3 linked regions of the Macaca fascicularis genome follow. The protein of the gene in region 1 binds, or shares a complex with, the protein of each later gene. Links are inferred from orthologs where the notes say so. Each region holds a gene or a part of one and is shown in the gene's direction. Other genes may lie near its edges.

The links.
Region 2: the proteins of IPO13 (region 1) and EIF1AX are in contact, whole or in part, in a crystal structure (PDB 3ZJY), measured with the Homo sapiens proteins. The link is inferred for Macaca fascicularis from reciprocal best matches to the Homo sapiens genes IPO13 and EIF1AX. Residues at the interface, in NP_055467.3 of Homo sapiens: Tyr365, Asp369, Leu372, Asn936, Lys937, Arg938; in NP_001403.1 of Homo sapiens: Leu42, Arg82, Lys88, Tyr106, Gly107, Glu108.
Region 3: the proteins of IPO13 (region 1) and UBE2I are in contact, whole or in part, in a crystal structure (PDB 2XWU), measured with the Homo sapiens proteins. The link is inferred for Macaca fascicularis from reciprocal best matches to the Homo sapiens genes IPO13 and UBE2I. Residues at the interface, in NP_055467.3 of Homo sapiens: Leu33, Tyr34, Tyr35, Asp36, Pro37, Ile39, Lys42, Gln46, Glu73, Tyr76, Gln178, Thr179, Arg181, Gln231, Glu261, Val264, Asn265, Met302, Glu303, His306, Arg310, Val313, Glu317, Asn318, Thr355, Ser358, Leu359, Leu361, Thr362, Ser413; in NP_003336.1 of Homo sapiens: Arg13, Lys14, Arg17, Lys18, Asp19, His20, Pro21, Phe22, Val25, Val27, Lys59, Glu99, Asp100, Lys101, Asp102, Arg104, Lys110, Gln111, Leu114, Ile125, Gln126, Pro128, Ala131, Tyr134, Thr135, Cys138, Gln139, Ser158.

The regions. Positions count from the first base shown.
Region 1 is NC_088375.1:190,801,772-190,805,342, reverse strand, and holds part of IPO13 (importin-13), read left to right. Parts: intron 1-37; coding exon 38-179; intron 180-287; coding exon 288-454; intron 455-674; coding exon 675-795; intron 796-881; coding exon 882-1,029; intron 1,030-1,455; coding exon 1,456-1,637; intron 1,638-1,721; coding exon 1,722-1,748; intron 1,749-1,942; coding exon 1,943-2,077; intron 2,078-2,226; coding exon 2,227-2,370; intron 2,371-3,571. UniProt on the Homo sapiens protein: Functions in nuclear protein import as nuclear transport receptor. Serves as receptor for nuclear localization signals (NLS) in cargo substrates.
Region 2 is NC_088395.1:20,005,259-20,009,512, reverse strand, and holds the start of EIF1AX (eukaryotic translation initiation factor 1A, X-chromosomal), read left to right. Parts: upstream 1-1,414; 5' UTR 1,415-1,621; coding exon 1,622-1,637; intron 1,638-4,254. UniProt on the Homo sapiens protein: Component of the 43S pre-initiation complex (43S PIC), which binds to the mRNA cap-proximal region, scans mRNA 5'-untranslated region, and locates the initiation codon. This protein enhances formation of the cap-proximal complex.
Region 3 is NC_088394.1:2,054,410-2,058,706, forward strand, and holds the start of UBE2I (SUMO-conjugating enzyme UBC9), read left to right. Parts: upstream 1-1,457; 5' UTR 1,458-1,731; intron 1,732-1,948; exon of another isoform or gene 1,949-2,086; intron 2,087-4,297. UniProt on the Homo sapiens protein: Accepts the ubiquitin-like proteins SUMO1, SUMO2, SUMO3, SUMO4 and SUMO1P1/SUMO5 from the UBLE1A-UBLE1B E1 complex and catalyzes their covalent attachment to other proteins with the help of an E3 ligase such as RANBP2, CBX4 and ZNF451.

The DNA.
Region 1 (3,571 bases):
GAGGTAGAATGACCTGACTGTGTCTCCTCCTCCCCAGGGCCTTGCTGGACCAAGTAGAGCACTGGCAGAGTTTCCTGGCACTTGTCAACATGATTATGTTCTGCACAGGCATCCCTGGCCACTATCCTGTCAATGAGACCACCAGCTCCCTAACCCTCACCTTCTGGTACACGCTGCAGGTGTGTCTGTGTGACCTCCAGTAGGACTGGGCTGTGGTGGAAGAAGGTGGATCATGGGCTTCTATGGCTGCTGGTGAGGTGGCTAATTGTCTTCCCTGGCTCTCTCAGGATGATATTCTATCCTTTGAGGCAGAGAAGCAGGCTGTATACCAGCAGGTGTACCGGCCAGTCTACTTCCAGCTGGTGGATGTGCTTCTGCACAAGGCCCAGTTCCCTTCTGATGAGGAATATGGATTCTGGTCCTCAGACGAGAAGGAGCAGTTCCGAATTTACAGGTGATGGTAGCAGGCCAGCTCCTCTAAAATGGAGTCCAGAAATAATGAAGGCAATGAGGGAAGGGGCCCAAGGCCAGGCTTTCTGAATTTTGGGGCTCCTTTCTCTGTTTTCTAGGCATTGTTGCAGAGTTGTGGGGGTACTGGGGTAGGCTCCTGGGCTTGGGGGCAGGATCCAGGGTCAGGATCCAGGCAGTATAAAAGGCCTTCATCTGCTTCTCAGGGTGGACATCTCAGACACGCTCATGTATGTCTATGAGATGTTGGGGGCCGAGCTGCTCAGCAACCTCTATGACAAGCTGGGTCGTTTGCTCACCAGCTCAGAGGAGCCCTACTCCTGGCAGGTACCTCCCAAGCCTGATTCCCTCAGCCCTCCCAGACCTGTCACACCCTCCTCCTCATCCAAGCCAGTGGCACCCTCTTTCCCCAGCACACAGAGGCCCTCCTCTACGGCTTCCAATCCATCGCAGAGACCATTGACGTCAACTATTCTGATGTGGTGCCTGGGCTCATTGGCCTCATCCCACGGATCAGCATCAGCAACGTGCAGCTGGCAGACACTGTCATGTTCACCATTGGTGAGACCTGGCACACACCCATGACCATATTCCCAGAGCCACAGCACCCCACCCCGGCCACAGCCAGCATGCTGGATTCTATCCAGAATGGGAGAGCCATGTGCCTACACACAATCAGTGTTGTAACAAACTGACTGTCCTGGCAGGTCTAGGGGGTCCATCTGATGGCACACTGAGCTGAATTCAGTGAGGCTAGTTTACTGTCAGTGAAACAGCAGTACTGGGCTTCTGTTGAGTAACCTCTCCCTGCTTCTCAGCTGTAAGGCTCATGTTTGAGCATGCACATGCATATGTCCTCTGAATGGAGCAGTGCTCTGTGCTAGGGCTGCAACTTGACCCTGCCAGGAACTCTGCTTGCCTCAGAGACATGGTACAAAGCCAGTCTGGCCTGCCTCAAAGATCCTTCTGTCTCCCTCCTTCCTCCAGGAGCTCTGTCTGAATGGCTGGCTGACCACCCCGTCATGATCAACAGTGTTCTGCCCCTGGTACTGCATGCCCTAGGCAATCCTGAGCTCTCTGTCTCTTCTGTGTCTACCCTCAAGAAGATCTGCCGAGAGTGCAAGTATGACCTGCCTCCCTATGCTGCCAACATTGTGGCCGTGTCCCAGGTATGCAGGGGCCCTGGATGGTACTGAGCTTCAGAGCACACTCTGCACTGTGCTGATACTACATTCCTTCTTTCTCCCCCGCAGGATGTGCTGATGAAACAGATCCACAAGGTGCGGCTCAGAAGTTTCTAGGGGTCTCCTTGGGGGTCTTGTGGGAATCTCTTATCCCTGAAATCCTGTTTTTTGGCCTTCCCCTTCCTCTTACCCCTTATTCTCTGTGTTTTTCTTCTCCCAAGAGGCCCGTTTTCCTTCTTACCCCACAACTAGATGTGGCCAGGACTGACCATCCATGTTCTGCCCCACAGACAAGCCAGTGCATGTGGCTGATGCAGGCGCTGGGCTTCCTGCTGTCAGCTCTTCAAGTGGAGGAGATTCTTAAGAACCTGCACTCGCTTATCTCACCCTATATCCAGCAACTGGAGAAGCTGGCAGAGGAGATAGTGAGTGAGCTCTGGGGGCCGGGAGCAGTACTGGTACGCTGTGGCTGATGAGGGGTGAAGGTGGAGCTGGCCCTTAGAGCTGGGGCTCAGTGATCTGGGGACCAAACTGGGGCTAGGAGATCTGGAGCTTGGTTTGCTTCTCCCTGCAGCCCAATCCCTCCAACAAGCTGGCCATTGTTCACATCTTGGGGCTTCTCTCCAACCTCTTCACCACATTGGACATCAGTCATCATGAGGATGATCACGAAGGCCCTGAGCTTCGGAAGCTGCCAGTGCCACAGGGACCCAACCCCGTGGGTGACATTGTCTTTGCCATCCCCCCACCCCCACCTGTGGGAATGTCATTGTCACTCTTCAATTCTGTGGGTAATGTTGTCATTGTTCTCCCTGCCCCGTGGGGGTGATATATTTGGTCCTCTGACTCCATGAATGACCTATAATTGCCTCACTCTGTAGGTAGCAATGTCATTATCTCACTCAACTCTGTGTGTGATGTTGTCCTTGTCCCCAGCCCAATTAGGGTGATGTCATTGAGATTCCTCAGCCTCATGAGGGACATTGACGTTATATCCTTCAACCCTTAAGTGATGTTATTATGGGCCCCTGTTCAACCTCCAGCTCTGTAGGGCCTTCTACTTCAACATTTACTGTCCCCTGTGAGCACTAAGGATGCTCATGACATCCTCCACATGTAGTAGTTCTGGCCTTCAAGTTGCTCCCAGTGCAGAGGAAATTCAAGTTGCTCAGATTGTCACAAAGCAGTGTGATAAGTCTTGTGATAAGCTTGGGCACAGGTTTTGGGGTGACCACTTAGAAGCTGCTTGATCTGGGGCAAGCCTCAGCTTCCCATTAAAAACTGAGAACATTGAAATGTCTGGCTTACTCAACTCATAGAACTGTGCTGGATAGCAGATGTGGTCTTAAGTGAAGGTAGTTTGCATATTGTAAAGTTCTTTACAAAGACTGCTTTGGTTGCTATTCCCAGAACTCCCTCCAGGATTTCTCCAGGAGAAAAGGAAGCCATGGGCATCGTGGCCTCTTTGCTTAACTCCCCAACCCAGTTTCAGTTAGCCTCTTGGCTTTAGACCACACCTGGGCCACTGTCATCCCACAGAGCTGCTTCTTTACATGGTAGTCATCATCCTGCCTTTCCTCACCTCCCAGGACCTCAGTCTGCTCTCTACTCCTCCGTAAGCTGGCAGAGCAGCTTAAGCCTGCATCTGTGCATTCCTTGGGGCTCCCTACCTCAAGCCTATTTGGAGGAGATAACATCTGCTCTTCTTCAGAGGCTAGTCCATAGCCTTGGTTTTACAGAGCAGTGATAGGGGGTGATTTTTTTTTTTAAGTCTACAAAGTTTTTGTAACCTTATGAAGCACTTGTGATATCTCTGCTTTGCAGTTTGAGGCTTCCTTTGAGATGATCCCTAGAATTCAGGATATCCTCCTTTTTCATTCATGAGAGAGTTCAGCAAACCACTTCTTCCCCTAGGTGAC
Region 2 (4,254 bases), on another chromosome or scaffold:
TAAGGACACCAGTCAGATAAGGGTCCACACTAATGACCTCATTTCAATTTAATCACGTCTTTGAAGACCGCATGTCCAAATACAGTCACATTGAGCTACTGGGGATTAGAACGTGAACATACGAATTTTGGGTGGGGGGAACACAATTCAGCCCATTAACATTGAACTTAAGTCTTTTCTCCCCTCCCTCCCTTCCTTTCTGTGTGTATTGAACACCTATTATGTGCCAGACATTCAGCTAAGTGGGGGTAATGGTAAGCAACTGACATGGTCTCTGCCCGGTAAGGTTTACAGTGAGGTAAGACAGTAATTACCAAAGCATAATATTTGCTTTAGAGTATTAATAATATTACTCTTTAGAGTAATAACAAGTGCCATGCAAATATTATGCTTTGGTAATGGATGACAGGAAAGCCTTGCCCTTCCCATCAGGCTCCCAACCCGGCTGGGCGAGTGAAAAGGTTGCGTTATGAGCCAACCGGCTGGGCGCGGTGGCTCACGCCTGTAATCCCAGCACTCTGGGAGGCCGAGGCAGGCGCGAGTTGAGGTCACTAGTTCGAGACCAGCCTGGCCAACACGGCGAAACCCCGTCTCAACTAAAAGTACTAAAATTAGCTGGGCATGGTGGCATATGCCTGTAATCCCAGCTACTCGGCAGGCTGAGGCAGGAGAATCGCTTGAGCCCGGGAGGTGGCGGTGGATCACGCCACTGCACTCCAGCCTGGGCGATAGAGCAAGACTCCGTCTTAATAAAAAAATTAAAACATTGGCCGGGCGCGGTGGCTTTGGGAGGCCACTTTGGGAGGCCGAGACGGGTGGATCACGAGGTCAGCAGTTCAAGACCAGCCTAGCCAAGATGCTGAAACCCCGTCTCTACTAAAAACACAAAAATTAGCCGGGCGTGATGGCACGTGCCTGTAATCCCAGCTACTCCGGAGGCTGAGGCAGGAAATCGCTTGAACCCGGGCGGCAGAGGTTGCAGTGAGCCAAGATCGCGCCACTGCACTCCAGCCTGGGCGACTCCAGAGCAAGACTCCGTCTCAAAAAATAAAATTAAAATTAAAAAAATATATATTTTAAAAACTGAGCTAACCATGAGGTTAACAAGTCAACCACTTGTCAAACTGGGAGACCCGCGTTTGCTACAAAGCAGCAGAGGTCTGGCTTTAACCAGCAGCGAGCGCCACCTCAAACCGCCCTTTTCTATGACGCAGAGGTTCTCCCCCGCCCTCCCTGACTCCGCCTTTTCCCTGCTTGCGGCCCTGCCCCTCGCGTCCTCTCCGGCTTGCTGCGCACCCTCCCAGAACGCGTCTGCCTCGGCCCTAACAATGGGGGTCAGTCGGCCACGCCTGCGCCATAAAGCCTAGGGGGCGGGCCCAGCCGGCGACGGGAGGCGGGGAAAAGCGACGCAAGCAGTCGCGACGCCATTTGCTGCCGCCGAGCGTGGACGCTGGCGGATCTCTGAAGAGCTCGGTTGCGATCCTCTCTCGCGCACGCTGCCTAGCCTCCAGCACCTCCTTGGTCCCGCGCGCTCCCTCGTGTCGCCCCTCGGAGCAGCAACCGCCTCGGTCGCCGTTACCCGGAAAGAAGTCAGAGACCCCGCGAGGTCGCCGCCACCGCCATGCCCAAGAATAAAGGTAATGCCGCCCGGACCCCCGGACCACGGCCCTCCTCGGCTGAGTTTCCCAGGTCCTGCCCGTAGATTGCAGGTCACCCAGGTCGCAGTGACCCTTTTTCCTTCCCACCCTACCTGCCCGCGGCTGGGCGTCCCACACGCGACTCTGAGCTCGGGAGAGGAGCTGGGAAGTAAACTCCTGTTGCCCAGTTTGGCCACATTGGGGTGGAGCCGACGCCATTTTTGTAGGGCCTCCTGCGGGAGAATGGGCTTTTGCTCCTGATTCGCGCCAGACTGACCGCGGCTCGGTGGCGATGGTGGCGGGAACCCTACACCGGGCGGCCTAGGCTTAGTAGATAGGCCCATCTGGCCTTCCCGGGCATGAGGGGTTAATCCCTGGAAGCCGTTCTGAACTTTAAAAGAGTGCTGTCCGCGTTCGTGAGCACCAGGTACTCCTGCATGGGTCTCTTTATGGACAGTTCAGTATTGTTGAGGCTACTCGTTGTCCCTTGTGAACAGTGGGTGAAACCTTGATGCATTTCTAAGGCTCACTTCTAGAGATTTACTCTCTCCATCCCTTTACAGGATATAGCTTATGTTTGTTTGCTGAAGACTTATTCCATATTTAGCCAAGTTTTCTACTTTTGCTTCAGATCATGCATATGTTGTGAGAATAAAGACCTAATTTAAGTTTTCTCCATTCTGAGGCTAAGGATTCACAAATGATCAGACTTGAGGATAACTTTATTTGGGATTTCCAAAACGAAAGGCCTAATCTTAAAAAAAAAAAAAAAAAAAAAGGCGTAACACTTCTAAATAAATTACTTTTATAGATTTACAGTGTTCCTGTCATTTTTAATAGCCTTATAACTTGTTGAAGAAAATTGTGCAAGTAAATATAGGGAAAATATTGTATTTTCCTACAGGAGAGGAGCATACTTCATAGTCCATAAGTAGTCTCCTTTGATTATTCATTCTTAGGAAATCTTTCCCTGACACAGGCCTACTTCTGCTCTCTTTTCTACTTGACAGCTGGCTCCAGGAATTCTACCACATTTCGTCTTTGTAGCTGTCACTTGTTACTTTATCCCTTAGGGTACTTGGTCAGGGTGTTCTGTGCACAAGTTGGTGCAGTCCTCTCGGGGGCTCTCCACCTTGCTGCCCTCAGAGATCAAACTTTTTGTAGCAAGGATTTTCACTGCTCATTATTTTGGAAAAGATCGAGTTATAAACAAAAAATTTTTTAAGTCTTAGGTTTTCTTCTGTATAATCCTTTATTCTCTCTGAGATGGTAAGGGGATCACTTCCATCTTATTCTCATCTTTATTTCTAGTAATAAGATTTTCAATTCTTCCACCAGGCTGTAAGCTCTAAAAGGCAGGAATAGTATCTGTCTTAATCACATTCGATTGCTAGCACTTGCCACTTAGTAGATGCTCAATAAATATTTGTTGGTTTAAGTCACCTTCCTCCTGTCAACTCCACCCTTAGGTGAATAATAGGTTCTGCTTTGGTTCCAAGGGGATAGGACTTCTACACTAAATCACATCTAGTTCCCTAGCCTCATGTCTTAAGAAAGAGCCTCTCTGGGAATTTCTCCAAAACAACTCTGGTTTAAAGAATGTTGATGTCACTTTAATTGTTGTACACTCAGACCTAGTCTCATTCATTCAACAGAGAATTTAAAGAACATCCCATTACATGGCAATAAAATACAAAGGGGAATGATCAGGGTATGGTTAATTCTGGTAAGTTGACAAGTAATGAATGGTTTCTTAAATAATATTTGAGGCATACAAAAAATACAGCTAACATAATGGACCTGGGAACCCAGGGGTTTCTCAGAACCTGGAAACTCTGAATTTAAGAATTACAACGCAAATTGAGGTAAAGCCCTAATCACCTTTTACTCTCTTTTTGGAGGTTATCACCAGGCTGAGTTTGGTGTTTATCATTCCTGTACTGTCTTGAAACCAATCAGTTCTTAGTTATCTTACTTAGAGGAATGGTACTTTTCATGACCCCTGAATTTTTTGAGATAGGTTTTACTAATGTAGAAATAAAGTCATTTATTGTTCTGTTTTTCTGCATTGGAAAATCCAGAAGCCCTGTGAATATAAGCTGTGGTTACACAAGTAAGGGTAAAATTTGCCACATACTATGTGTTAAGTGACTTTTGCTTTGGATTGATTCATATCAACTTATTCTAGAAATTCTTAGAAACCCATCCTCAAATCAGGAAAAGGGGTATCATTTGGCCCACTCATAAGCATTTAGGGTATAGTGCTCCCACACTTTGAAGAAGTTACTGCCTATGATTTTTAACTCACCACTCCGTTAGGAATGTATGGACTATTCTTGACCAATTCATTTGAAGAATTAGTGAACTCAGGTATATAACTCAGGAAACAGAGCAGGTATGATCTTGCCCTAAAGGAGCTTGCACTCTGTTTTGCAGATCTGGCATGATTAATGGCTTCATACTTTTCTCTTTCTAGGAAATTAGTTTCAGTGTTCCCTAAGAATGCCTCAGATACTGAATTCTAAGGACTCTGAGCGGGTCAGGAAATTGTAGAGGCCCCCCTAAAATAGCACAGAGCAATGTGAGACTGCCCCAGGAGAGAGTAAGTGGACTTGAT
Region 3 (4,297 bases), on another chromosome or scaffold:
GGGAAGGAATGAATGAATGAGGGAAGGAACGAGTGAGGGAGGGAATGAGTGACGGAATGAGTGAGGGAGGGAGGAATGAGGGAGGGAGGGAATGAGTGAGGGAGAGAGTGAATGAGTGAAGGAGGGAGGAAATGAGTGAGGGAGGGAATGAGTGAGGGAGGGAATGAATGAGGGAGGGAGGGAATGAGTGAGGGAGGGAAGGAATGAATGAATGAGGGAAGGAATGAGTGAGGGAGGAAATGAGTGAGGGAGGGAATGAGTGAAGGAGGGAGGGAATGAGTGAGTGAGGGAGGGAATGAGTGAAGGAGGGAGGAAATGAGTGAGGGAGGGAATGAGTGAGGAAGGGAATGAATGAGTGAGGGAGGGAATGAGGGAGGGAGGGAATGAGGGAGGGAGGGAGGGAATGAGTGAAGGAGGGAGGGAATGAGTGAAGGAGGGAGGGAATGAGTGAGGGAGGGAGGGAATGAGTGAGGGAGGGAATGAATGAGTGAGGGAGGGAATGAATGAGTGAGGGAGGGAATGAGGGAGGGAGGGAATGAATGAGTGAGGGAGGGAATGAGTAAGGGAGAGAAGGAACGAATGAACGAGGGAGGAAATGAGTGAGGGAGGGAATGAGTGAGGGAGGGAATGAATGAGTGAGGGAGGGAATGAGGGAGGGAGGAATGAATGAGTGAGGGAGGGAATGAGTAAGGGAGAGAAGGAACAAATGAATGAGGGAGGAAATGAGTGAGGGAGGGAAGGAATGAATGATGGAGGGAATGAGGGAGGGTGGGAATTAATGAAGGAGGGAATGAGTGAGGGAGAGAAGGAATGAATGAAGCAGTAAGGGAGGGAATGAGTGCGAAAGGGAATGAGGGCGGGAATGAATGAGGGCGGGAATGAATGAGGGTGGGAATGAGTGAGGGAGGGAAGGAATGATTGAGTGATGGAGGGATTGAATGAATGAGTCAGGCAGGGAATGAGGGAGAGAGGGAATGAGTGAGTGGGGGAGGGAATGAATGAATGAGGGAGGGAATGAATGAATGTGGTCAGTCCCCGCGGTCCCCAAGCACCCGGACACCGTGACCTTGGCGGCGGCCCCGCCGTCGGCGAAATGGGGGGCGGGGGGACCGGGAGAGCCCCGGGGCCAGCACGACCGCGCGTTGGCGAACGGAGTATCCCGCGCGCTCGCGGGGCTGGGGGCCTCTCGACCGGTCTCGGGAGTTGCGTGGGCGGGGGGTGGGGGGCTGTTGCCCGGAAGCGCCCCTCCCCCAAGGGCTCGCCCCGCCCCCGCCGCTCGTAGTCTCCCCACGCCCCGCCCCCGCCCAGGGCCCGCCCCCGGATTAGGGAGCATCCACACTTCTCCTCCCGTCGGTCATGCTCGCTTTCGGCCTTTTGTACGGGGTCGGCTCATTGGGCAGATGAGAAGGTCTCTCCGCCCACCGCCCAGAAATGGCCAATTGCAAGAGGTTTCACAGGGCGCTGAACTCGCGGGAGCGTCACCGTCCTGCGACGCTTCTGGGAATCCTTAGGCCTCAGTGGTCTTTGCCCCCCGGCCCCAGGCTCTGACCCCAAGGAAACCTCGGAGACCTGTGCCTGGAGAGGTGACCGCCGGGCATCCGGGGAGCTTTTGGAGATCTCGGCCTCCTTTATCCCCCGCTGCTCGCCGGCGTGTCCTCGGGTGGACGCGGGCACCCCGAAGGGGAGTTTACAGACGCTCCCTCACATCGGGGACGCGGCTCCTTTAAGGGCGTAGGTGTCCAGGGCGCCGCCTGACTGAAAAGTCACCCCCCCGGCCGGGCTCCTGGGGCGGACCCGGGGCGCGGGCGCGCGGCGGCGGGGCACGGGCAGCGGGGGGCGCGCGGCGGCGCGGGCGGTGCTCGGGGCCGGGCGGCGGTGGCAGCGCGCGAGGCAGGCGTGCAGAGGGCAGCCCTGCACCAGGCCCCGCCCCGCGCGCCCCGCCCGCGCCAGGGTCCTCGGAGCTGCTCGGGCTGCGCGCGGAGCGGGCTCCGGAGGGAAGTCCCGAGACAAAGGGAAGCGCCGCCGCCGCCGCCCCGCTCGGTCTTCCACCTGTCCGCGACGCTCGCCGGGGCCGCGGCCGCCCGAGGTGAGCGCGGGCGGGGGCCGGGCCGGGGCCGCGGGGCGGGGGTCGGGCCGAGGCCTCTACTCCTGTCGGGCCCGGGCCCCCGGCTGCCCCGCGCCCCGCCCCGCCGAGCCGGGCCCCGCGCCGCGGCCGAGCTTCCCGGGGAGCCCGAGAGGCCCCACGCTCGGCGCCGGTTCGGTCCGCGCTGCTGGCGCCGCGGGGCTGCGGCCCGAGCGCCCCGGCCGCCGCAGGCCTTGGGGGCCGGGGCTCCCCCACTTCGCCCCCGAGGTGCTCCTGGCGCGGGGCCGGGGCAGCCACCTGCAGCCGGGGCCCCGCGAGGCCGCGCCTTCCTTCTGCGCGGGGAGCGGCTTCCGGGGTCACTGTCGCCCCGCGGACGGAGGGGATGGGTCGCGGGGGAGACTCTTGGATTGCAACACCGCTGGCTCGCGGGGGTGGGGGCCGGCGAGCGGGCTTGTTTTCGGTGCCTTGAAACCAAAACAAGTCTTAAGTTTTCCTGCGCCTCTGAAGATGCTGCCCTGGCGCTTGCTGGGGCCCTGAACGTGAGCGCCTCGCTGGAGGGAGTTTTATTGTTTTGGGGATGGGTTTTTACCGGTTGAATAGTGGTTGGCTCTGGTAGTTAACGTGCGTGGGAGGAAGGTAAGGGAGTGATTAGCTGGGCTTGTGATCGTGGCCTGTAGTCACGCTTGAATCGCAGAATGAAGTGGTTTCGTTTTTATAATTGGAAGTTACGCTTTGTTTCTCTGTTTGCAAAGTGCCTGTCTTTGGGGAGTTCGGTTTGTTTCCTTTTATAGGACCTACGCCGAATGTTTTTTGAAGAACAAGAAACATTGCGTTTGGGTAGAGAAGCTGCGCAGCGGAAGACAGGACGGGACCTGAGTTTGTCCTGATTGCTCCTTCAGAGGTCCCTTCCCTAGACCACTGGGTGGTTGAAGGTGTGCGCTTGTGTGATGTGTCAGGGTTTGGGATCTTGCTTCAGAAACATTCTGGGGGCCTGGGGCAGATCAGGTGCGGCCAGGTGAGCGTCTCCTGACTGCAGGTGCCTGGGTCTTGCAGAAGGGAATACCTCCCCAAGCCTGGGAGAGTTTGCGTTTGGGTGCAGGAGGACCTTTACAGGCTTCTTGTGCCAGCCGTCGTGGCGACCACCCGTTGTGGAGATGAGTGCGGTGGAGTTGTGAGAGGTGAGTGCTTTGCTCACCTTCAGCCAGGAAGTTGCTCGGAAGTCGGTGCTGTCAACCAGCAGAGCAAGGTGGTGATCCGAGAAGCTAAAGCTCAGCCGGTCGCGGGTGCCCAGCAGGACAGAAGGCAGACCTTCAGGCCACTCCTGGAGTGCTTGGCCCTGTCCTGGTTGCTGCAGTGTCTGGGCCTTGCTTGGCTCTGATAGATGAGGGTTGTTTTTGTCTTTGCCTCATATAAGTTCCCTGCTCTGAAGGGTCTAGTAACTGCTAGCCATTCACTTAGTGCTTATCTGTTAATTTGGAAGGGCAAATTCGATTTTCAGCGGGATTTTGAATGCTTCGTCTGTGTTGTGATTACATTGTAACACATTGGCCACTTTCTCCAGGAGGCCAGTAGGAGGGGGAGCAGGGGGAGGGGCCTGGCTTCTGCCTAGGACAGGGTGGGTGTGCACCTGTGGCTCCTTGCCCTGTGGTGCAGTTTCCTGTGAGACCACCCCGTGGTGCTGAGTGCTTTGGGGCAGGGGATACAGCAGCATCAGCCAGACCTTGGCGGGAGGTCTCACAGGAGCACCCTCACGACTTCTCACATCTGAGACAGCAATAGCTAGGTGCTGGGACGGGGGCCTCTAGGTGGCTCTGTCCGGTCTTCAGTAGGAGGGCTACCTGTGGCAGGGTCCCAGGCCTGGCTGGCCTCTCTGGGGCTGGCCTCTCTGGGGCCTGGCCTTGCCTGGCTGTGAGGATCGTGTTGGCCATGGTCCTTCAGTGTCTGGAGCACTGGCCTGGGGCTTCAGAGACCTGCTTGATTCCTGGCCCCGCTCAGACCCCGGGCACCTGGGAGGTCGTGGCTCCTCAAAACGGCCGTTCACCAGGCTGCTTTGCACCGCACCAGGCACAGGCTGTGGCTACTCATGAAGCCCACCCTGGGGCTGGGGAAGCGAGAGCTGTGAGTCCTCAAGCCACAACTGAGCTGCTCCATGTGGAAGTGGAGGGTGGAGACACGTGCAGAGAGAGCCTTGAAACCGTGGTTGGCGGGAGCTCC